Macaca fascicularis: one gene and its partners. The protein of the gene in region 2 interacts with the protein of the main gene of each other region in a biochemical or structural test. Links are inferred from orthologs where the notes say so. Each region holds a gene or a part of one and is shown on either strand. Other genes may lie near its edges.

The links.
Region 1: of the proteins of H2AC20 (region 2) and KAT2A, one has a biochemical effect on the other in vitro, tested with the Homo sapiens proteins (2 studies listed by BioGRID). The link is inferred for Macaca fascicularis from reciprocal best matches to the Homo sapiens genes H2AC20 and KAT2A.
Region 3: of the proteins of H2AC20 (region 2) and EP300, one has a biochemical effect on the other in vitro, tested with the Homo sapiens proteins (5 studies listed by BioGRID, with this or other methods). The link is inferred for Macaca fascicularis from reciprocal best matches to the Homo sapiens genes H2AC20 and EP300.
Region 4: of the proteins of H2AC20 (region 2) and UBE2B, one has a biochemical effect on the other in vitro, tested with the Homo sapiens proteins (2 studies listed by BioGRID, with this or other methods). The link is inferred for Macaca fascicularis from reciprocal best matches to the Homo sapiens genes H2AC20 and UBE2B.
Region 5: of the proteins of H2AC20 (region 2) and RNF8, one has a biochemical effect on the other in vitro, tested with the Homo sapiens proteins (2 studies listed by BioGRID). The link is inferred for Macaca fascicularis from reciprocal best matches to the Homo sapiens genes H2AC20 and RNF8.
Region 6: of the proteins of H2AC20 (region 2) and USP16, one has a biochemical effect on the other in vitro, tested with the Homo sapiens proteins (2 studies listed by BioGRID). The link is inferred for Macaca fascicularis from reciprocal best matches to the Homo sapiens genes H2AC20 and USP16.
Region 7: of the proteins of H2AC20 (region 2) and RNF168, one has a biochemical effect on the other in vitro, tested with the Homo sapiens proteins (4 studies listed by BioGRID, with this or other methods). The link is inferred for Macaca fascicularis from reciprocal best matches to the Homo sapiens genes H2AC20 and RNF168.

What each region holds. Positions count from the first base shown.
Region 1 is NC_088390.1:63,160,102-63,163,431, forward strand, and holds part of KAT2A (histone acetyltransferase KAT2A), read right to left. Parts: coding exon 3,275-3,330; intron 3,070-3,274; coding exon 2,959-3,069; intron 2,866-2,958; coding exon 2,729-2,865; intron 2,648-2,728; coding exon 2,439-2,647; intron 2,213-2,438; coding exon 2,086-2,212; intron 922-2,085; coding exon 811-921; intron 1-810. UniProt on the Homo sapiens protein: Protein lysine acyltransferase that can act as a acetyltransferase, glutaryltransferase, succinyltransferase or malonyltransferase, depending on the context.
Region 2 is NC_088375.1:111,389,218-111,391,535, forward strand, and holds H2AC20 (histone H2A type 2-C), read right to left. Parts: upstream 997-2,318; 5' UTR 940-996; coding exon 550-939; 3' UTR 501-549; downstream 1-500. Other genes in the region: H2AC21 (histone H2A type 2-B), read left to right, coding at 1-389; H2BC21 (histone H2B type 2-E), read left to right, coding at 1,274-1,654. UniProt on the Homo sapiens protein: Core component of nucleosome. Nucleosomes wrap and compact DNA into chromatin, limiting DNA accessibility to the cellular machineries which require DNA as a template.
Region 3 is NC_088384.1:10,438,108-10,440,297, reverse strand, and holds the end of EP300 (histone acetyltransferase p300), read left to right. Parts: coding exon 1-565; 3' UTR 566-1,690; downstream 1,691-2,190. UniProt on the Homo sapiens protein: Functions as a histone acetyltransferase and regulates transcription via chromatin remodeling. Acetylates all four core histones in nucleosomes. Histone acetylation gives an epigenetic tag for transcriptional activation.
Region 4 is NC_088380.1:140,910,674-140,914,796, forward strand, and holds the start of UBE2B (ubiquitin-conjugating enzyme E2 B), read left to right. Parts: upstream 1-1,323; 5' UTR 1,324-1,452; coding exon 1,453-1,496; intron 1,497-3,625; coding exon 3,626-3,706; intron 3,707-4,123. UniProt on the Homo sapiens protein: E2 ubiquitin-conjugating enzyme that accepts ubiquitin from the ubiquitin-activating enzyme E1 and transfers it to a E3 ubiquitin-protein ligase. In vitro catalyzes 'Lys-11'-, as well as 'Lys-48'- and 'Lys-63'-linked polyubiquitination.
Region 5 is NC_088378.1:134,291,005-134,294,504, forward strand, and holds part of RNF8 (E3 ubiquitin-protein ligase RNF8), read right to left. Parts: intron 2,929-3,500; coding exon 2,800-2,928; intron 1-2,799. UniProt on the Homo sapiens protein: E3 ubiquitin-protein ligase that plays a key role in DNA damage signaling via 2 distinct roles: by mediating the 'Lys-63'-linked ubiquitination of histones H2A and H2AX and promoting the recruitment of DNA repair proteins at double-strand breaks (DSBs) sites, and by catalyzing 'Lys-48'-linked ubiquitination to remove target proteins from DNA damage sites.
Region 6 is NC_088377.1:18,014,167-18,018,231, forward strand, and holds the start of USP16 (ubiquitin carboxyl-terminal hydrolase 16), read right to left. Parts: upstream 2,801-4,065; 5' UTR 2,684-2,800; intron 2,472-2,683; exon of another isoform or gene 2,385-2,471; intron 1,748-2,384; 5' UTR 1,685-1,747; intron 1-1,684. UniProt on the Homo sapiens protein: Specifically deubiquitinates 'Lys-120' of histone H2A (H2AK119Ub), a specific tag for epigenetic transcriptional repression, thereby acting as a coactivator.
Region 7 is NC_088376.1:1,914,802-1,919,057, forward strand, and holds the start of RNF168 (E3 ubiquitin-protein ligase RNF168), read right to left. Parts: upstream 2,801-4,256; 5' UTR 2,201-2,800; coding exon 1,900-2,200; intron 1-1,899. UniProt on the Homo sapiens protein: E3 ubiquitin-protein ligase required for accumulation of repair proteins to sites of DNA damage. Acts with UBE2N/UBC13 to amplify the RNF8-dependent histone ubiquitination.

The DNA of each region.
Region 1 (3,330 bases), on a different chromosome or scaffold from region 2:
CCAGTTCCTCCGGCCTTCTCTACTGGCCCCCCAGTTCCTCCAGCCTGCTCTACTGGCCCCCCAGTTCCTCCAGGCTGCTCTACTGGCCCCCCAGTTCCTCCAGCCTGCTCTGACTCCCCAGTTCCTCTGGCCTTCTCTACTGGCCCCCCAGTTCCTCCAGCCTGCTCTACTGGCCCCCCCAGTTCTTCCAGCCTGCTCTGGCTCCCCAGTTCCTCTGGCCTTCTCTACTGGCCCCCCAGTTCTTCCAGCCTGCTCTACTGGCCCCCCAGTTCCTCCAGCCTGCTCTACTGGCCCCCCCAGTTCCTCCAGGCTGCTCTACTGGTCCCCCAGTTCCTCCAGGCTGCTCTACCGGCCCCCCAGTTCCTCCGGCCTGCTCTACCGGCCCCCCAGTTCCTCCGGCCTGCTCTACCGGCCCCCCAGTTCCTCCGGCCTGCTCTACTGGCCCCCCAGTTCCTCCAGCCTGCTCTACTGGCCCCCCAGTTCCTCCAGCCTGCTCTACTGGCCCCCAGTTCCTCCGGCCTTCTCTACTGGTCCCCCAGTTCCTCCAGGCTGCTCTACTGGCCCCCCAATTCCTCCAGCCTGCTCTACTGGCCCCCCAGTTCCTCCAGCCTGCTCTACTGGCCCCATAGGCCCCCATTCTCCCCTGGGGCAGTGGCAGCAGAGGAAAGAAGATAGGCATGGAGACTTTCCTGGCAGGTGTCAGGTGAAGTAGGGGACATAAAGGGACTCCTACTCCATCAACAGAGGGGCTGGACAGAATGACCCCAGGCTTCAGGCAAAGGACCAGTGTGGGATAAGGCTACGGGTCACCTGCTTTTTGAAGTAGCCGATGGCGTACTCGTCCGCGTAGGTGAGGAAGTAGAGAATGTTGTGCTTGATATGATACTCCTTCAGGTGGTTCATCAGGTGGGTCCCATAACCCTGTGGGGGAGGGGAGCAGGACTCACCAGGAGCTGAGGATGGGCCTGGTGCTGGAGAGGTCTCAGAGCCCAGAGTGGAGCGGGTGGATTGGAAAGGAGGTGGGGAAAGGGAGAGCATCCAGGCAAAGAGAAAGAAAGGCAGCTGACAGAGGGAGGGGAGTTTATGGGAGAAAGTGAAAGGTAGAGGCTTTCTAAGCTCACTCTGGGCCAGGTGCAGTGCTTCCTGTTTTACAGACCGATTCTCAACCCCAGAGGCGAGTAGTACCACCTCTATTTTAGAAAAGAGAAAACTGAAACTCAGCTATGTTAGGAAATGCGTTCAAGGTCAGGCTGCCAGCCGTGGCAGGGCCGGGTCCAAACCCAACACAGGCCAGCAATTCTCAGTCCCTGGGCCTCAGAGTTGGGAGAGGAGGGAGAGGGAGTCACCAGAGGCCTGAGCAGGAGCAATGGCTCCCACACATCAGGGCCAACGATGCGCCACGCAGATCTGAGGTATGTGACACACAGAGCCAGCGACCCTACGAGGGGGTCTGTTGTAACAAAGGACAGAAGCCAAGGCTATCAGCATAGGACTACTGTAATAACGGTTAGTTCGGCTGGTCACCATGGCTCACACCTGTAATCCCAGCACTTTGGGAGGCCGAGGCAGGTGAATCACTTGAGGTCAGGAGTTGGAGACTAGCCTGGGCAACATGGTAAAACCCTGTCTCTACTAAAACACAAAAGTTAGCCAGATGTAATGGCGCATGCCTGTAGTCCCAGCTACTTGGGAAGCCAAGGCACGAGAATCACTTGAGCCTGGGAGGTCAAGGCTGCAGTGAGCCCTGATCATGCCTCTGCACTCCGGCCTGGCTGAGAGAGACCCTGTTTCAAAAAATAAATAAAAAATAAAAATTAAAGTAATTAATTCCCCCATGTATGTAAATGTTCTTGTGATGAAGAAAATCCTAGTCCACAGGTCACCAAAGCGTGGCCGCTTCTTGGGCTCTGTCTGTGAACAGGTGGTTTCCTAATCCACAGTTATCAAAGTACGGCTGCCACCTTGTGGGGATGTGAGGAACGGGCCACTAAGAGAAGAGCAAGGGGCTGCTGCATCCCACACCTCCCGCTGCTCCGAGCTGGCCCAAACTCCGGAGCGAGCCGTGGGCTGGGGAGCGGCACTCACCTTGACCTGCTCATTCGAGGTGACAGCACAGAAGACAATCTCCGTGAAGCCCTGGGTGGGAAACATGCGGAAGCAGATGCCACCGATGACCCGCCCATCCTTGATCAAGGCCAGAGTCTTGTGCTTCCTAAGAGAGAGGTGGGCACGTCACAGCCCCTGCCTGTTTCCTTCAGGTCCCCAGAGCCCTGGAAGTCTGAACTGTAGTCAGGGTTGGGCAGTGAGAAATAAGAATGCTCAAAGGTTGAACTTCAGAAGTGGGGAGCAGGGGATCTCCAATTTTGAGGAGTCAAGAGGCCGAGGAGGAAGGGACCCGGGGGTCCTGCCCTGGGGGAGGGGCTCTCTGGGGGACGCACGGGTCAAAGACGAGGCGGGCGATATACTCCTTAGGCATGCGTGGCAGCTGGTGGGAAAAGACATTCTGCAGCCCCACGAGCCAGAGCAACACCCGCCGGTTGGCCTTGGGCGTCACCGAGTTGCCGATGACGTGGAACTCAATGATGCCACGGCGCTCCTCCAGGCGGGCTGTCTCATCCCGGGCCGCATTGGCCGAAAGCAGGCTCGTCTGGGCACAGAAGAGGGGCGGTGAGCTGGGGTTTCAGGTTGGTGGGGGTCCCCCAACTGGTCAGCAGGTCGGGCTGCCCACCTCAGGCCCCAGCATGGCAGCAGGGTCAGTGATGGTCAGCATGACCTCATTGACTAGCTCCATGGGGATGTCGCCCATCACACGGAGCCTCTTGGCATCCTCCAGGGTCAGGTTCTCCGGGAGCTTCCTCTTCTCGCCTATTGCGGAGGCAGGCAAGGTTGGTCAGGATCAGTAAAAAAAGGTTTGGGAAGGAGTGAATGATGGTCAGAGGTCAGGGATCAAGTATCTACCTGGCATAGGCTCGGCCCCTGCAGAATCCAGACTCAGGGAGCTGTTGCTGCCTCCGCCCATGCTGGGGCTGAAGATGGGGGTGCTGGGAACAACTGCTGCACTGACCGAAGCTGAGGAGAGAGAGAGAGAGGTCAGGGACAGGGGGACTGAAGCTGAGACAGAGAGAGAGAGAAGTCAGGGACGGGAGGGCTGAAGCTGGTGACAGGTCCCTCAGTGGGATCCAGGGCCTCTGGCCCAGCTGAGCCCTCTTCCACCCAGGAGGCTTAGCTCAGCCAGGCAGGCCAGACACCCTACAGAGCATACCATGGCACATACCTGGCCGGGGTACCAGCTGTGTCCCCTCTGAGGGTGGCATGGTGAAGCCTGACTCC
Region 2 (2,318 bases):
CAGGACGCGGAAAGCAGGGAGGCAAGGCCCGCGCTAAGGCCAAGTCGCGCTCGTCCCGCGCTGGCCTCCAGTTCCCGGTGGGGCGAGTGCACCGCTTGCTGCGCAAGGGCAACTACGCGGAACGGGTGGGGGCAGGCGCCCCGGTGTACCTGGCGGCGGTCCTCGAGTACCTGACCGCGGAAATTCTGGAGCTAGCAGGCAACGCGGCTCGGGACAACAAGAAGACGCGCATCATCCCTCGCCATCTGCAACTAGCCGTGAGGAATGACGAAGAGCTCAACAAGTTACTCGGGGGTGTCACCATTGCCCAGGGCGGCGTCTTACCCAATATCCAGGCTGTCCTGTTGCCCAAGAAAACGGAGAGTCACAAGCCTGGCAAGAACAAGTAATTAAGAGGCTTGACACCATACTCATTCACCCCAAAGGCTCTTTTAAGAGCCACCAAAGTGTCAAATGAAGGGCTGATCACGAAATAGCGCATTAGCTCTTTTTTTGAAAACTTGGGTGGCTCTAAAAAGAGCCTTTGGTCTTTGGTTTGTTTGTCTGCATTTATTTGCTTTTGGCTTTGTGGCTTTCAGTTTTCTTTGGTAACAGAACGGCCTGGATGTTAGGCAAAACGCCGCCCTGGGCGATGGTGACTTTGCCCAGCAGCTTGTTCAGTTCCTCGTCGTTGCGGATGGCCAGCTGGAGGTGACGAGGGATGATGCGCGTCTTCTTGTTGTCCCGAGCCGCGTTGCCCGCCAGCTCCAGGATCTCGGCGGTCAGGTACTCGAGGACCGCCGCCATGTAGACTGGCGCGCCAGCCCCCACCCGCTCCGCGTAGTTGCCTTTGCGCAGCAAGCGGTGCACTCGCCCTACCGGGAACTGGAGGCCAGCGCGGGACGAGCGCGACTTGGCCTTGGCGCGAGCCTTGCCTCCTTGTTTGCCACGACCAGACATGACTGAAACCAAGGTTAAACACAGACAATGCTCAGAACCTCGCTACAAAATAAGCTTGAAAGAGAACCAAGAGGAAAGCCTTTATAAGCTTTCCTAGGGGTGGGGTCTAGAACGAGTTTTTCATTGGTCCTAATATGGCTTCAGAACCGGCCAATCAAGTCAAGAGTCGGTGTTGTTGCGTACGCATTGCTGAAAACGCAAGGTCCGCACACGGACCAATGGAAATGAATGACTTTCGGAGCCCTAATTTGCATAAGGTGGTTATAAAAGAATCAGGCCCGCCCATTCTCTTACTTCTTTTCTTGGCTAAGCCGCGTTTGTACTGTGTCTTACCATGCCTGAACCGGCAAAATCCGCTCCGGCTCCTAAAAAGGGCTCCAAGAAAGCCGTCACCAAAGCCCAGAAGAAAGACGGCAAGAAGCGCAAGCGCAGCCGCAAGGAGAGCTACTCCATCTACGTGTACAAGGTGCTGAAGCAGGTCCACCCCGACACCGGCATCTCGTCCAAGGCCATGGGCATCATGAACTCCTTCGTCAACGACATTTTCGAGCGCATCGCGGGAGAGGCGTCCCGCCTGGCGCACTACAACAAGCGCTCCACCATCACGTCCCGCGAGATCCAGACGGCCGTGCGCCTGCTGCTGCCCGGCGAGCTGGCCAAGCACGCCGTGTCCGAGGGCACCAAGGCAGTCACCAAGTACACCAGCTCCAAGTGAGTCCCTGCCGGGACCTGGCGCTCGCTCGCTCGAGTCGCCGGCTGCTTGACTCCAAAGGCTCTTTTCAGAGCCACCCACCTAATCACTAGAAAAGAGCTTGTTCACTTACTCCCTTAGTTTCTTCTCATAAAGTAATTTTAGCGTAAAGGTCATGGGAAATGCCACACGTAGGTTTTTAACCATTTGGAACTTGAGGTCCCCGGTGCATGATTGGATTTGCTTTTGAATCTAGAGCGTGTCTTCACTCATTGTGCTGCTTAGCATTCCCAGGAGTCGGTTCTCAATTAGGATGTTGGGAATCCGCCTCTTTACCCGCCCCCACTCCCGCCCCACACTGGCGCCCTGGTGGCTTCTTGGGTCTGTTTCATTCTAAAACGAAGTGGCTGAGTTCGGCTGTTATTTAAGAGAACTCCAGGGCACGATTCAGCCCAGGTTCCGCAAACACTGCGTGACAGCTGTGTATGACTGACGCTTGGCAGCACCTTTTGTGTCCGGTCACCAGTTCTGCTGTGCGATGGGGTCTCCTGTGGATACCAGCCGTTCTGTGTATTTTGGACGAAGCCCGCGCAGCCGGGTCCCAGCCTTTTCCTGATTGGGCGACATGAATATTCAAAATTCTGCGCCTCTTTCTAATTTGTAGATTTCAGTTTCCGTCGTTCACTTT
Region 3 (2,190 bases), on a different chromosome or scaffold from region 2:
GCAACATCACATGCAACAGATGCAACAAGGAAATATGGGACAGATGGGCCAGCTCCCCCAGGCCTTGGGAGCAGAGGCAGGTGCCAGTCTACAGGCCTATCAGCAGCGACTCCTTCAGCAACAGATGGGGTCTCCTGCTCAGCCCAACCCCATGAGCCCCCAGCAGCATATGCTCCCAAATCAGGCCCAGTCTCCACACCTACAAGGCCAGCAGATCCCTAATTCTCTCTCCAATCAAGTGCGCTCTCCGCAGCCTGTCCCTTCTCCACGGCCACAGTCCCAGCCCCCCCACTCCAGCCCTTCTCCAAGGATGCAGCCTCAGCCTTCTCCACACCACGTTTCCCCACAGACAAGTTCCCCGCATCCTGGACTGGTAGCTGCCCAGGCCAACCCCATGGAACAAGGGCATTTTGCCAGCCCGGACCAGAATTCAATGCTTTCTCAGCTTGCTAGCAATCCAGGCATGGCAAACCTCCATGGTGCAAGCGCCACAGACCTGGGACTCAGCACCGATAACTCAGACTTGAATTCAAACCTCTCACAGAGTACACTAGACATACACTAGAGACACCTTGTAGTATTTTGGGAGCAAAAATTATTTTCTCTTAAGACTTTTTGTACTGAAAACAATTTTTTTGAATCTTTCATAGCCTAAAAGACAATTTTCCTTGGAACATATAAGAACTGTGCAGTAGCCGTTTGTGGTTTAAAGCAAACATGCAAGATGAACCTGAGGGATGATAGAATACAAAGAATATATTTTTGTTATGGCTGGTTACCACCAGCCTTTTTTTCCCCTTGTGTGTGTGGTTCAAGTGTGCACTGGGAGGAGGCTGAGGCCTGTGAAGCCAAACAATATGCTCCTGCCTTGCACCTCCAATAGGTTTTATTATTTTTTTTAAATTAATGAAAATATGTAATATTAATAGTTATTATTTACTGGTGCAGATGGTTGACATTTTTCCCTATTTTCCTCACTTTATGGAAGAGTTAAAACATTTCTAAAACCAGAGGACAAAAGGGGTTAATGTTACTTTAAAATTACATTCTATATATATATATAAATATATATAAATATATATTAAAATACCAATTTTTTTTCTCTGGGTGCAAAGATGTTCATTCTTTTAAAAAACGTTTAAAAAAAAAAAAAAAAAACTCCCTTTCTTCCCCTCAAGTCAACTTTTGTGCTCCAGAAAATTTTCTATTCTGTAAGTCTGAGCGTAAAACTTCAAGTATTAAAATAATTTGTACATGTAGAGAGAAAAATGACTTTTTCAAAAATATACAGGGGCAGCTGCCAAATTGATGTATTATATATTGTGGTTTCTGTTTCTTGAAAGAATTTTTTTCGTTATTTTTACATCTAACAAAGGAAAAAAATTAAAAAGAGGGTAAGAAACGATTCCGGTGGGATGATTTTAACATGCAAAATGTCCCTGGGGGTTTCTTCTTTGCTTGCTTTCTTCCTCCTTACCCTACCCCCACTCACACACACACACACACACACACACACACACACACACACACACTTTCTATAAAACTTGAAAATAGAGAGCAAAAACCCTCAACTGTTGTAAATCATGCAATTAAAGTTGATTACTTATAAATATGAACTTTGGATCACTGTATAGACTGTTAAATTTGATTTCTTATTACCTATTGTTAAATAAACTGTGTGAGACAGACACCCTGACTTTGTTTCACTTGATAACACATCTTTGTCTTGGTGTGCACCAGTTTAAGTGCCCGGTGCTTAGGATTCAGAGGAAAAAGTGAAAGCATTAGCTTATAGCCTCTTTACTACATACAATTTTTCACAAGTAGATCTTGGTTAATTTGTCCAAAGTTCTGGGAAAAAGTACTGCAGGTACCAGCTAACAGTCAAGGTGGAAGTGATACCTACTTAACACCTTGATACAGGATCGCTTAAGGATGACCACATGGTCTTCTAATCACCATCTTACAGGGATGAGGAGGAGGACCTAAGACAACGGATCATACCTGCCTAAGTCCCAAGTAACTTCTTGAAAAAAACAAGACTTGCCAGGCACGGTGGCTCATGCCTATAATCCCAACACCTTGGGAGGCCAAGGCGGGCAGATCATGAGGACAGGAGTTCCAAGACCAGCCTAGCCAATATGGTGAAACCCCCATCTCTACTAAAAATGTAAAAATCAGCAGGGCATG
Region 4 (4,123 bases), on a different chromosome or scaffold from region 2:
AACTAGGGGCAAGGTTGAGGCAATGCTAAGGTCCTCATTCCACCCTCCCTTTACCTGTTGAACCGAACAATTCCCCAAATGGATACAAAAGTACTCAGAGTCCTTAGTATAACAAAGTCCTGAAAGTAGGAATTAGCAGCAATACAGGGAAAGACAGTAACTACAAAAAATATTCAAGGTCTGTGGGAGGTCAACACCTCTGAACCCCCTGGTGGTGGGGGGGCACTTCTCGCCCATTTGCACCTTTCTTGCTAGTGTAAAAAACCTGAAGTTGTCTCAGGCTGGATAGATAACCCTCACTCAGGTCTGCTGGAGCTCTCCCCCACATATGAATCATATTTGTAGGTTTCTTTGACAACCAACCACTCATTGATATGCTTGGAAGACTGCACCCCCACATTCTTAAAAATACAATGGTACTCCCCCCCATAGGCAAGTCCCCGGACTCTGACACATATCTTCAATTGAAAGCAGACCCAGAAAGGAAAAACTGCATAATACACCATCCTTTAATGTTTGCCCAGAATTTCCAATACTAGAAACCCCACTGCAAAGCAGAAAGACTATTTGGTAGCTTCAAGGAACCATTTCAGGAGATTGTTGTGTGGCCCTCAGTATTCAATGCTGCCTTAGAAGATCTTGCGATCCTCTCTCTTCTTGCCCCAAGTACCAGAGTTCATAAGCCACTGAACCAACCAGAGGGGAGTTATTTTTGGTCCCGGTTTAAAGAAAACAAAACAAGCTGTTGATCCTCCCACGACCTCTTGGGTAATGTCTCTATACCTGTGATAAACCGAAAACAACTAATAAAGGTGTATCCAGCCCTCACCCTCTTAGACCCGCTTCACAGACCTGGCCGAAACTCACATCCAGGCGAGGCTCTCACGTGACCCGTTCTAAACGCGTCACAGGGACACGTGGTTCTAGATACTTCTCCCCCTCCCCCTCAGGGGTGGATTGTTGACAAGGCCGCGGGCAGTCACGTGATCTTACATCATCCCACCTCCTTTCCCTGAAATCCCTGGCCCGGATACGTCCTTCTTTCTCCACCCCGCCGAGCCTAAACTAGAGACGGGGAGGCAGACAGGATAGTGTGTCGGTTTCGTGGTCTCTGAATCCACAACCTCTAGTCTGAACACAGAGAACACAAATTTGTCGATCACTTCAGGAAGCCCAGGAAGAACCACGCCCCGCTGAAGGGCTCAGGGAACGCGCGCTCCCCCGTCCCGCCCCCTCCTCCCCCAGCACTCACTCTGTGGTAGCGGCGGAGGGCGGAGGGATCCGGAGGCGGCGGAGGGAGACGTCATTGCAGGGTTGTTTGTCAGTCTTGGCGGCGGCGGCGGCGGCGGCGGCGGCAGCGGCGATCCACAGTGATTCGGCCGCCGCGCCGGGGGGTGGGGGGGCTGCGCGGGACTCTTTTCTTTCAGACTGACCGCGGGGCAGCTGCGGAGCATGTCGACCCCGGCCCGAAGGAGGCTTATGCGGGATTTCAAGCGGTAAGGGCCTTCAGCTTCGCATAGATGACGGCCTCTCAAAGCTGCGGGGCTGCAGGGCGTGGATCCCGGACACCTTCCCCTTGTGACCCTCAGAGGGCCGGCTGTGGGCCCAGGGGGACTGGCGGAAGCCGGGTCCTACCTCGGCCCCTACTCTCCTTATCCTTGCCGCTCGCTCTGGCGCCCGAAGAAATTTCGATACTGCTTCCCCTCCCCCCAAAAAGTAAAACGATGTCGATCGACTGGTCTAGGGTTCCCCGCTGCCCATTTCGGCCAGCTGCCCGGGGTCTCGTCCAGGGGATCAGACGGGGATCAGACATCATCCTCCCGCCCCTGCACCCTGCGGAGACCCTTTCTTGTCCCCTCAAAGTGAGCTCCCGCGGGAGCTTGTTCTTCTCCGGCAGCACCAGTCAGCTTTGTTTCACGGCCCCTCAGTCTTCTCCGAGGAGCCGGGTTGGGGTGAACCTCCCCAGCCCCCCACCCTCGCCAGTCCTTTCCATTTCTGCCGTGAGGGTGGGGTCCAGTGCGTGAGGCTCGGAGGTTAACCCATCCCCCGAAACCCGACTCTGTCCCCGCCCGCCTGAAAAGACCTTGGGAACTGACTTAGAGATCTGGGACCTTAGAGCTGGCCACCCCGGCTGCCAGTGCCTTCTGGAACTCAGATCTGGCTGGTGAAGAAAGCCCTATCTATAGCCTCCCGAGTCTGGAAAAATGCCTTCCCTTAGACTGGCGCTAATTTGATACTCCCTGGGCCTTCTTTGGTAAATAAAATAGGGTTTTGTTAGGAGGTATTGGGGTTGTGAGGAAGAAAATGATTATTCCGTTAGTTTACCTTTTATTGGATACTTAGAGACGTAGAAAAAACAAAATAACGTAGAAAAAACAAAATAAGTGAGAAAACATTTTGATATTCTGCACATTTTTCTTAAAATTTTTTCTGGGGACACCTACCCTAATTGAACAAAATAGCATAAAAACATAGATTTGTCGCTCAGGAAGTCACCTCTCAGCTATTATAAAGCCTATGTGAGGCATTTGGATTTGGCCAACTTATTTAATTCATTCGTAGCTTCTCTTAGCCATTTAAAGGTAGGCGTCAAGCAGTGCAGTTCCTCTAAGGCTTCTGTTTGTGGTGGCCTAATTTGCTTGAGATTGACTAAAAACCTTTTTTTTTATGTGGACTAGTTGCAAATTATGATGCCCCATGAAAACAACTCCATATGTATTTGTGAGTGTGTATAATGTAGCATTTTTAATTGAGGTTACAGTCTCTGAAAGGAGATGCCCTTTTTGGTGCAAAAGTCATTTTTCTAAAGCTTGAAATCAGTGTATCTGATTAGCACTCATGACTAAAATTCAGATAGTAAACTAGTTCATGTCATTGTCGCCCTGGCTCCTTACTGTAATGCTCTGCTTAATTCTGAGTTGAATACATGGCACCTTTTGTAGTTTTCCAGAGATCTATAGGTTACAAGAATTTGACTATGACGAATGTGGGAAAGCCTTGTATTGAGTCTCCTGATTTGAGAGGTAGATTTGATGTTAGTGCAGAGCCTTTAAAATAGGGACTGGCGGAAAACCTACTGATTACTTTTTAAAGCCATTGCTGTTTGAAGCAAAAGGGATAGAGTAAATCTGCTGCCTAATACTAGTTTCCTAGTTAAATTTAATGTGTTTTCAGTCATTTCGTGTTTACACTGAGGTTTGCTTTTTTTTTTTTTCTTGTAGCCATTTTGCAGAAGTAGCCGTGGTTAGGATACACAGTCTTTGCATGTTTAGAGCAGCAAAATCAATGGTTCTGTAAAAATATTACTTGCTTTTGAGGTTTTAAACTTTTTTTGGTATAAGAGGACAGTCTATATACATCAATTCTTGAAGAGATACTCTTGATAATATTGAAAGAGGGATGATTCTCAAGCCCTTCGGATTTTTAGGTAATTTGGAGAGGTATTTAATAAGTATATATACCTGGTTAATATATCTAAGTCATATGGTTCATTTTAGTTCACAATAACAAGGAAATGGAGTTAGTCTGTGTCTCAAAATAGATGGTGTAGTGTCTGTAGGTGTTTATGTGGCCTCCTTAGTGGCCTTAATGTTCAACTTTTTAAATTACAACGCTGGATTTCTAGGTTACAAGAGGACCCACCTGTGGGTGTCAGTGGTGCACCATCTGAAAACAACATCATGCAGTGGAATGCAGTTATATTTGGGTGAGTTGAAAGGTTTAACAAATAATAGGTGTGTGCTGAATCTTTAAGAAAAGTGAACATATAACAACTGTCTAGGAAAAGAAACTGAGGTAGAATGAGAGATCTTAAGGACTAAAACTGCAAGATAAATTAGAAAAAAATTTTTTTCAATTAGAGTTTTGGCCCAGCACAGTAGCTCAACGCCTGGGAGGATCGCTGGAGCCCAGGAGTTCATCACCAGCCTGGGCGATATAGTGAGACAGTGAGACTCTGTCCCCTCTCCACCAAAAAAAGAGTTTTGGCCCAGTCTGGGCAACATAGTGAGAGACCTTGTCTCTACAAAAAGTATAAAACTAACTGGGCATGGTGGTGCCCAGCTACTTGGAAGGCCGAGGCAGGAGGATCACTTGAGCCCAGAAGTTTGAGGCTGCAGCCAGC
Region 5 (3,500 bases), on a different chromosome or scaffold from region 2:
ATGGGAAAGGCTCAAGTAAGACGTGACCGAACCTCTAAGGCATTTCATACTGTGACTTTAAAACAACCAATTTTCTGAAAGAGCTGGATACCAATACAAAGATGGCCATCTGAAGAGCTTATGAATTGACCAAAACCTACACAACTAGAACCATCCTCATACTGTGTGCAGAGTTAGCTGTCCTCCAAGGGTTTTTTTTCCTATATTTTAAGCCAATTTTAAACCAAAATAACATTTCTTGCAATTTTTGTATCCATACTTAAGCTCTCACTTTCTGGCCATTCCAGCAGATAAGAGAATGCAGCTCTGAGTTTTAACTTATTAGAAACACCTATCTCTTGAAAGAGACTTGGCAAATGACTTCAAACACAACCACAGCAATAATATCCTACAGCTGAAATTCAGGTCCCTATCAGCAGAAGAGGGCTGCCATGGCATCATGCCAGGAGGAAGCCAGAAAGGGGGCAACTGTAATCAAAAGAAAAGTGCAGAGGGGAGGGGGGATTTACTTGTAAGAATTGTTCCATCAAAACGCCCCAGTCCTAGCTTCTCTTAAAAATCAGTTATCTCACAATCACAGCTAAAAAGTTTAAACAGGTTGTTAAGAAACCTTTCCTTTCTATTGCCTGACTGAGACCTCAGAAGAATCACATGATAACAGCAACCCTAGAAGGAAGGGTACAAAGCAAACATTGGAGAGCGAGCCCGGAGCACAGTCATGATCTGATCTTGCACAGGCTGCCTATGTATCCCTGTGGTTGACATTTAAATAACACTACAGTTGATCAGCTGTTGGCTTCCCAACCTATGAAAATCTGCTAATCCCATAAGTGGATCACATCTACACTGCACATAATTAAGAAAAGCAGCAGCAGAAAACTCACCTCTATAATACTGTAATCCCAACTCTCATACAGCCTACGCTGATGAGGAAAACATCTTTTCCTAAGCTGTTTTGATATACACTATGACAGAGGCTTTAAAACCTTGCAGCTATATTTTAAATATGCATAATTAATTGTTTGATGTCATAAAGCCAGTATAGCAAATTGCTTACGTACTTTACTGGTATTTGCACAGGGCATAGCAGAGAAACTTAAGTCCTGGCTCATTATAGAGAAGGCCTTGGGCAAGGCAGTTTATCTCTCTGGGCCTCAGATTCATCTGTCTACATAAGGGGTTAAAGTAGATAATGCCAGTGCCAATTTTTACCCTGCTCATAGTGCACTGCTGAAAGTGCTGAACCTATTTACTTAGCATTTGTGTATTGTCTCCTTCAATACAGTGCCAACTCAACTTAATTCTAGAGCAGGAAGATACTTTACAACAGCTTAAATCTAGCAGTTTTATGCATGCAAAATGAGGCTGCTGGGCAGATCTGTGGGATATCCTCCCTTCTAATGGTACTGTTAAAATCCTAACTGGGGCAGTGAAGCAATATGAAATGGTACTTAAAGACATGTTATACTTCCTAAACATGAACTGTTTATGTTAGAATTTCTCTCACCTCATAGTCTGTATTTTCATCATATATCCTGGGTGCTTGTATATCTGCACTTTAGGTATTTTCTTTTCTTTTTTTTTTTTAGATAGAGTCTCGCTCTGTCGCCCAGGCTGGAGTGCAGTGGCCGGATCTCAGCTCACTGCAAGCTCCGCCTCCCGGGTTTACGCCATTCTCCTGCCTCAGCCTCCCAAGTAGCTGGGACTACAGGTGCCCGCCACCTCGCCCGGCTAGTTTTTTGCATTTTTTTTTAGTAGAGATGGGGTTTCACCGTGTTAGCCAGGATAGTCTCGATCTTCTGACCTCGTGATCCGCCCGTCTCGGCCTCCCAAAGTGCTGGGATTACAGGCTTGAGCCACTGCACCCGGCCTTTCTTTTCTTTTTGATAGAGACAGGGCTTCACCATGTCAACCACACTGGAGTGCAGTGGCTACTCCCAGGTGCAATCCCATTGTTGATCAGCACAGCAGTTTTGACCTGCTCTCCTTCCAACCTGGGTCAGTTCACCTTCCTTAGACAAACAGGTGGTCCCCTGCTCCCAGGAGGACACCACATTGATGCCGAACTTAATGCAGACACCAGAACGGCGTAGCACACTATAACCCAGAACTCATGGGCTCAAACAATCCTCTTGCCTCAGCTTCCCCAGTAACCGGGACTACAGGCATGCACCACCACGCCCAGCACATGAGGTACTTTCTAATTGCTGGGCTTTATATACTATTGCACCTCCCTCAACACATTTACCACTAAACTAGTGGTTTTCAAATGTGTCTAAAGGAGGAAAACCCATTATTCAAAGGAAATCTTCAGAACACCAACATTTAAAACATGTTTTAAAAGCCAGGGGAGGTTGCTCAGATTGAAAGGAATGAGGAAGGCAAGGAGCTAAGTGCAGTCAGATCAGTTTCTCCCTCCTCCCCCTGTTCACTGAGCCATAAGTGTACTCCAGAAGCGTTAGCGGATTCTGCAGATTCCCAGGGTCTCTGGGAGCTTCACCTCAAACAGGCTGATTTGCCCAGTAACTTAGTCTAGTTTCTGGAATAGGACCTACTACCCCAATTCAGGTATTCTCTTCAAGGTAACAAACTTCAACCCAAATCAAGAGAAATTGTTTTAGCATAATCTAATCTCTGGCAGCATATGGAAGTGGCTGCGCCTCTGGAAAAGGAAACTGGATGGCTAGGAAAGAAGAAGTTATACTTTTGAATTTTATACCATGAATTACCTAGGCAAAAAAAAAAAAAAAGTAATTTAAAAACAAATAAAAGTCATTAGGATTCTGTGAATTCCTGTACCTTGTTGTCCATAATTGTCCACTGGCCCTCAGGATTCTGCTTCAAAACACAGTGGTTTCGAGAAATCATCAGGGGGCAGATTTTTGATACCAATTGGTATGTGACACCAAATCCTCGTCCTACAGTCACCTGGGAAGACAACAACAATGTAAGAAATACAATCAGTCATTGTGCTGAAAAGGGAGGTCCTTTACAAATCTCGTCAACCAGCAGCATATGCAGGTCCTGACTTATGAAACCAGACACCTGTGGAACCAAAACAGTGCATCAGCTATCTCCCCTTCAGCTGCCATGAGAACCACCAAATAGAAAAAGGCAAACAGTTGTGACAAGAAGAGAAAGCTGAAAAAGAGTTATCCATGTATCTCAGGGTTGGCAAGATCTTGAAAGGTCATCTGGTTCAGTGACCATGAGATGGAGGAATTCTTTCTTTTTTTTTTTTTTTTTTGAGACGGAGTCTCGCTCTGTCGCCCAGGCTGGAGTGCAGTGGCCGGATCTCAGCTCACTGCAAGCTCCGCCTCCCGGGTTCACGCCATTCTCCTGCCTCAGCCTCCCGAGTACCTGGGACTACAGGCGCCCGCCACCTCGCCCGGCTAGTTTTTTGTATTTTTTTAGTAGAGACGGGGTTTCACCATGTTAGCCAGGATGGTCTCGATCTCCCGACCTCGTGATCCGCCCGTCTCGGCCTCCCAAAGTGCTGG
Region 6 (4,065 bases), on a different chromosome or scaffold from region 2:
TTTCCTTCTAAGCTATCTTTCTTAGCTCTGCAGTCTATGCAAATTAAATGGATAATTTCTCTAATAAAAATTAAAAATAATTCGGACAACAACCTCCTGAAGGGAGTTAGAAATTTTCCAAAACAGCTTCAAAGCTAAATACAAAAAGTGATACACTGTTGTGCATTTTCCACACCAAGATTTCCTATGCATATCAGCTAAATGGAAATTGATTACAACTGCATTCTTGACTATTCACATTATTACATTATTGACAAAACCACTTTGGAAGGCTATGACAAATCTAGCTGCACATCACATCTTCACCTTCTTAGTCAACAATTCAAACTTAGAAAACAAGAAAAGTGCTAAAAGTACATACAGGTCTACCTATCTAGAATTATAGATTTTAGAAATAAATACAAAATATAGCACCCAAGTTCTTGCTTCCAATCCAACTCACTCTAATCGGGGTGGGAGTTCAGTACTACATTCATCTTCCAGTTATGCCATTTTTATTATATCATTCTCTTGATTGAAAGCATTTAACAGTTTCCCAGACCACACTCCCTAAACTTTAGCCTTTATAAATAGGGACCATAGGCCTTTATAAATTTGGCCCCAATGCTCAGCTAATCCTGACTATTATGCCTCGACAACAAAAACAACAACAAAAAACCCACTAAAATTATAATTATATAGTACTTTTGATCTTCAAAGTCCTTTCACAAACATTATCACATCGGATTTCGATAACAACACTTTAAACAGAGACATTTCACTCAAGGAGAAAACTCAGGAAAAAAAATGGTGAAAGATCACACAGGGTAACAAAAATGAGCTAAAAGGCAGGTGTTGTCTGGATGCGGTGGCTCGCGCCTATAATCCCAACACTTTCGGACGTCGAGGTGGGAGGATCGCTTGAGGCCGGAAGTTCATGACTAGCCTGGGCAACAAAAAAGCGACACTCTATCTCTACAAAAAAAAAAAGGTAAAACGCAGATGTTTGGGTTTTCAAGACCACCACTTTTTACCTGCCAATCAAGTCAGTCTCTTTTTGGTTTTTTTTGAGACAGAGTCTTGCTCTGCTGCCCAGGTTCAAATGCTGCTTCTACCTCAGACTCCCGAATAGCTACGATTACAGAGCCCACCACCACGCCCGCCTAATTTTTGTATTTTTAGTAGAGACAGGGGTTTGAACTCTGGGCCAGGCTGGTCTGAACTCCTGACCTCGTGATCTGCCCGCCTCGGCCTCCCGAAGTGCTGGGATTAAAGACGTGAGCCACCGTGCCTGGCCAAGTCTGTCTCTTGTACTCCACTCCAAAACACTTTGTACCCTCCGCGCCTTGATGTCTTTGATTTCTAGCCGTAATGTTCTATCTATCTAAATCTTACCAATCTTGCAAGCTCTCCATTTCAAGGAAGACTTAGACAATCATTCTACCCTAAATTAACCTCTCCACTGAACTTCTCCAGTATTTATGGTATGCTCCAGTCATCTTGTCCCCTTATCAGATATTCTAGTGAATTTCTTAAATTTTTATCTGGGTTTATCTTATTTCTCTAAGCAGAACCTAAAGTTCTTAGAAAAATAAATGGTTTCAGGCATAGCTTTGGAACTGCCTATAATATCTAGCATAATGTTAGTACATAGTAGGTCCTGAAGAAATACTTCTTGCATTTAAATAGAAAAATAGAATAGTACCTGAGGCATAAAGGATGATTACAAGGTGCAAAGGTAGGTACATAAGAATGAAGCAAACAAGTTCTGGTGAAAAAGAAAAGAGTGAAGAATAAGAAGTCAGAAGTCTGCAGCAGTGAAGACAGACAGCACTAGTAAATCCGGTTTTAGGATTGCAGCAGCTCAAGACTCCATAGGAAACTTGAAAGACGAATTGTTAATTGCTGCAGGCAGACGACATAGAGGCGTCACTCCAGTGCTGCGGAAAGAGCCCCAGTAAATTTCTGACAACTGTAAAGGCAACTAATGAGTCACGAGGAGAGAATACTGTGACTTCCATCAGCTCTAAAACATCAATAAGCTTACTACACTTTTCAAGTAGTGTCATCGGATGAGTATTAGCGTCCTAGTGAAATGACTCTTTGCAGGGCTCCGTACAAAATCTAAATCAAAGATAGTGTTGCCGGCTCTCATATTATTCCAAGTCTCTTCTCTCTCTGCCCTCCCAGTCGTCCCCTGCCTACTCGGTTCCATTAAAAATGTAAGCGTGTGGAAAACTTTGTCAGCAGGTCTTAACGTGGCTTTCAAGTTTTGCGTAGATCAGTCCTCTCCTAGGTGAAGTCAACTGGATAGGTGACAGATCCTGCTTTTCCTACCAGCAGTAAGAACACGGCTGCAAACCCAGCCCCAACCCATAGGGTAGTCCCTGCCACGCGCCACCCACCCACTTGCTCGGCGCCTGCCACACCTCCCCTCTCCTCCTCTTCTAACTGCTCCGATCCCACCGGGGAACCCCGGGGTCCACGGGGTCAAGAAGGGCGCCAGCAGCAGCATCTCATTGGCCAGCTTCTGGAACTGACAAGACACGCAGCCAATGAGATCGCAGTACCGGAAGTAGCCGGGTTACGTGCTTAAAGAGTGGGGCCTTCAAGAAGAGAACGAAGTTGGGGCGGAAAACAGGGGCTCTCCCAGCGCAGGAAGTCAGGCGAGCGACGACTGCCAGGCAGTGCGACCAGAACTCACCCACGGCGACAGAGCCCATAACTGCATCCCCTCATGGGCCTTTGGGCTGGGCAGCCAGCTCCGTCTTCCTCCTGGTGACGAATTGAGAGCGACGGAGCAGAAGCCAGAGTGACCCCTGGAAAGCAACAACTTCCGGAACGCGGCATTATGGGAAGTGGCTAGGCCACCACCTCCCCACCCCCACCTCCCGTGACCATGGGCTCTGACGCTAGTAAATCTGCGCCTGCGTGCGGCTTGCGCCGGAAGTTCGGGCTTAGGGGTTTGGTTGTCAATGGGTTTTCTGGTCTCTGACATAACCATGAAGTTATATAAATGCCTCTGAAGTGTGGGCATCTGGTGGTGGTCTGAGCCTTGGAGTTCCCCAGATGGTTACCTTTCTGGAACACATTACATTTGGAGACTAACGGGGAGCGCTTAAATTTCTGTTTCCATAATTCTGTCCTCTCGACTTCTAAAACTGAGTACGTGAGTTGTCTTGAATTTACCTTCCTGCGCCATGTCAGAATAAAAAACGCAGCGAGTTAATTTTTTTTTTTTTTTTTTTTGAGACGGAATATCCGTCTGTCGCCCAGGCTGGAGGGCATTCTTCTGCCTCAGCCTTCCGAGTAGCTGGGACTACAGGCGCACGCCACTACACCCGGCTAACTTTTGTATTTTTAGTAGAGACTGGGTTTCGTCATATTGGCCAGGCTGGTCTGGAACTCCTGACCTTGTGATCCGCCCTTCTCGGCCTCCCAAAGTGCTGGGATTACAGGCGTGAGCCACCGCGCCCGGCCGCGAGAGTGAATTTTTAAAGCAGAACTGAAAGACGGTGTCAAACATAAATTGCGGGAGAGGAGGGGATTTTCAAATATTTACTGTTCATTCTTTGAAAATTTGTAAGTGCGAGGCCGGGCGCGGTGGCTCATGCCTGTAATCCCAACACTGGGAGGCCGAGGCGGGTGGATGACCTGAGGTCAGGAGTTCGAGACCAGCCTGGCCAACATGGTGAAGTCCCGTCTCTACTAAAAATACAAAAAATTAGTCGGGCATGGCGGCGAGCGCCTGTAATCCCAGCTACTCGGGAGGCTAAGGGAGGAGAGTCGCTTGAACTCTGGAGGCAGAGGTTGCAGTGAGCCGAGATCACTCCATTGCACTCTAGCCTGGGCAACAAGAGTGAAACTCTGTCTCAAAAAAAGAAAATATGTAAGGGTACACTTTGTGCCAAGCCTTCCCTCAAATGAATTAAACATAGGCCTCTCTGCCCTGGAGTCTTAGTTTAGTAGAGAAAATAGTAATCCCTACCAAGGGTGCCAGGGTGGGGGGGTTGCAGATATCTATAGAAAAATAGTCAAAGAATGTAAACAGGTAATTCACCATAAAAAAAAAATTGGTCATAAAAT
Region 7 (4,256 bases), on a different chromosome or scaffold from region 2:
ACATGGAATTACCATAGCATCCAGCAATTCCGCTCTTAGATATGTAGACAAAAGAACTGAAAACAGGTATTCAAACAAATATTTGTACACAGATGTCCGTATTGCCAGTATTCAAATAACGAAAAGGTGACAAAAACCAACGTCCATCCAATGGATAAACAAAATGTAACAAGTATATCCATAAAACAAATTATTATTCAGCCCGAAAAATGAAGTACTGATCCATGCCACACTGTGCATGAACCTCAGAAACACGCTAAGAGAAATAAGCTAGACACACAAGATCCTATATTGTATAAGTCTCTTATATGAAATACCTAGAATTGCCAGATTCATAGAGACAGAAAGTGGAATAGGTGCCAGGGGCTAGGGGGAAAGGTGAAATGGGTGGTCAGTGCTTCACGATTAGAGTTTATCTGGGGTGATGAAAAAGTTTTGGAAACAGTGGTGATGATTACATTGTGAATGTAATTAATTCTATTGAATTGTACTTAAAAATGGTTAAAATGTCAGTTTGTTATATATATTTTGGACAGTATTTTAAAAATTAATAATGCAATATATAAAAAACCATTAAATTGCACTTTTAAAAATTTTATTGAATTTATGTTACCCAGACTGGTCTCAACTCCTCGGTTCAAGCGATCCTCCCACCTCCGCCTCCCAAAGCGCTAGGATTACAGCTGTGAGCCACTGCACCCGGCCAAACTGCACACGTTTAGTAGGTGAACTGTTCGGTATGTGAGTATTTCAATAAAGCTGTTTTTCTTAAACTATTGTTTAAAAATGGTTAAAATGGCATTTTGGTTTTTTTACCACAATAAAATACATAAACGTTTAAAAGGCAGGTACACATATAACTGTGACCAAAAAAAATTAAAAAAAAAAAAAAAAAAGACCCGTAGACGAGAGCGCACAGACAGGAACCACTGCACGGCTTATTGCTCACACTAGCGGAGGAAAGAGTCAAGGGTTCAGTCTGGGGCTCCTGAGTCCACCGGGTGTAGGGGTTAGTGATAAAAAAGCGATTTTAGACTTGTTGCATGATTTTTTTTTTGGAGACGGAGTCTCGCTCTGTCGCCCAGGCTGGAGTGCAGTGGCGCGATCTCGGCTCACTGCAAGCTCCGCCTCCCGGGTTCACGCCATTCTCCTGCCTCAGCCTCCCGAGTAGCTGGGACTTCAGGCGCCGTCACCTCGCCCGGCTAATTTTTGTATTTTTAGTAGAGACGGGGTTTCTCCGTGTTGGCCAGGCTGGTCACGATCGGCTCGTTGCATGACTAGGAGAATAAAGAATTACGTGAATGGAGATGTACAGATAAGTAAATCAGAGGCCGGGCGCGGTGGCTCACTCCTGTAATCCCAACGCTTTGGGAGGCTGAGGCGGGCGGATCACCGGAGGTCAGGAGTTCGAGACCAGCCTGACCAACATGATGAAAACCCGTCTCTGCGAAAATACAAAAATTCCGGGTGCGATGGTGCGCGCCTGTAGTCCCAGCTACTCGGCAGGCTGGGGCAGGAGAGTCGCTTGAACCCGGGAGGCGGAGGCTGCAGTGAGCCGAGATCGCGCCACTGCCCTGTAGCCTGGGCGAGAGCGAGACCCTGTCTCAAAAAAAAAAAAAAAAAAAAAAAAGAAGGCTCTAGACGGGCAATTCTTTAATTTTTAAAACAACAAACACCCATCGAACACATCGCGGGCATCGTGACAAGGGACAAAATCTTGTCCTTGACTTTACAATCCATCGACATTTGGGGACCCATAAACCCCCAAACCTGAGAACTATTTAGACAAACATCAGTGGGGCTTTTTGGTTTGTTTGTACTTTTTAAATGGAGAAGCGATGATTCACCTTTTCAAAGATTTGCGGCTTTCGGCCAATAATCAGGCCGGGGTTTACTCACCCACTTCCTCGGACTCCTGCCCCGACGCTCTGAGCTTGCACTCCCGGGGATAGTGTTTCTGAATGACCTTCCACAGGTCCAGGTTGACGAGAGAATTCCTTCGGGTGTGGTACCGAGTCCACGAAGACACGCGGCGGCGACAGAAGGGGCAGCACAGACTCGCCTTCTCCACGGTCGCCTGGAAGCACGGTCTGCACAGCGTGTGGCTGCACGGCAGGGTCACGGGCTCCACGAGGATGTCCATGCAGATCCCGCACTGGCACTCGGACCGCGAGGGGACGGCGCCTTTGGGTAGAGCCATTTTAACACGTTAATAAAGTCGACTAAACGACGACACCTGCGCGAAAAACAATCCTATTTTCGGCCAACCACAGAGAAAGCAAAAGCACAGTTTTGTGTTTCAATATTGTGCCCAGAAGCGTATCAGAACTCGGAGAACAGGGGCATCCAACCCGTCTCGAAGCAAAAAGGCGCTCTCAGGGTCAGGCAAACAGGAACGCCCCGGAGGGCGGCGTCTTTGTCCATTTTCAAGGCAAACGTCCGGCAAGCAAACGACTGCAGGCTTTCGTCGGAGGAGCCGGGCTGCTCCGCGGCGTGAACACTGCGGCTGCGGCTCCCGGTGCAGCGAGGGGAGCGCGCCAAGTCCCCTCCTCCCCTCATCCGGAGAGGATGCTCCGCTCAGCTCGGGGCAGCCCGGCCCCGGGACGCGGCTCCGGGAGGAATCCCGAGCTCCGGCTGCTGCAGAACTTCCGCTTTGGCGCTGCTGCGGGGGCGACGCGCGACTCCCGGGTTCAGCTTCCCGGCGCCCGGCGCAGTTTCCCAGAGCTCCGCGCCCGGGTCCCTCTTGCGCAGCCAGAAGCCCTATTCGTTGCAGCGGCGCAGCAGCCACCGGGCAAGCGCCAGCAACGTCACAACCGCCCGCCAAAACCGCGCTTCCCACCCAGAAACCCGCCCAAGGTCGGACGCTCCCGGGGCGGGACTTCCGGCGTCTGCGCCCCGCCCGCCCTCCCAGCCGGAGAGGCCCAGCCCAGGCGTCGCCGCTCCTGCTGGTGCAGCCTGGGTGGAGCCTGACTTTCCCCGGAGATTTCTACCAGGCCTCAGACACCCCGGGTTTCTTGGTTTCTGGGTAGAAAAAGGGAAACTGCAAAACAAATTCAACAGCCAAACACGGCCGGGCGCGGTGGCTCACGCCTGTAATCCCAGCACTTTGGGAGGCCGAGGCGGGCGGATCACCTGAGGTCGGGAGTTTGAGACCAGCCTGGCCAACATGGCCAAATCCCGTCTCTACTAAAAATACAAAATCAGCCGGGCCTGGTGGTGCGCGCCTGTAGTCCAGGTTACCTGGGAGGCTGAGGCAGAAGAATCGCTTTAACCCAGGAGGCGGAGGTTGCACTGAGCCGAGATCGCGCCGCTGCACTCCAGCCTGGTCGACAGCGAGACTCTGGCTTAAAAAAAAAAAAAAAAAAAGGCTGGGCGCGGTGGGTCACGCCTGTAATCCCAGCACTTTGGGAGGCCGAGGCAGGCGGATCACAAGGCCAGGAGATCGAGACCATCCTGGCTAACACGGTGAAACACCGTCTCTACTTTAAAAAAAAAAAAAAAATATATATATATACATACACACACACAAAATAAAATAGCCGGGCGAGGTACACACACACAAAATAAAATAGCCGGGCGAGGTGGCGGGCGCCTGTAGTCCCAGCTACTTGGGAGGCGGAGGCAGGAGAATGGCGTGAACCCGGGAGGCGGAGCTTGCAGTGAGCCGAGATCGCGCCACTGCACTCCAGCCTGGGAGACAGCGAGACTCTGGCTTAAAAAAAAAAAGGCTGGGCGAGGTGGGTCACGCCTGTAATCCCAGCACTTTGGGAGGCTGAGGCGGGAGGATCACAAGGTGAGGAGATCGAGACCATCCTGGCTCACAGGGTGAAACACCGTGTCTACTTAAAAAAAAATATATATATATACACACACACACACACACACACACACACACACACACACACACACACACACACACACACACACATATATACACACACACACAAAATAAAATAGCCGGGCGAGGTGGCGGGCGCCTGTAGTCCGAGCTACTCGGGAGGCTGAGGCAGGAGAATGGCGGGAACCCGGGAGGCGGAGCTTGCAGTGAGCCAAGATCGCGCCACTCACTCCAGCCTGGGCGACAGAGTGAGACTTCCTCTCAAAAAACTTTAAAAAATTTTAAAAAGCCGAACAGTAATACTTGCCTCAGTACCCTTGTGAGTACGTTTTTGTTTCTATTGATTTGTAAGGTAGCCGCTTAGGTCGCTTTCCAAAATTCTTTAAAAAGCATCTCCAAGAAATATTGTGGTCAGAGA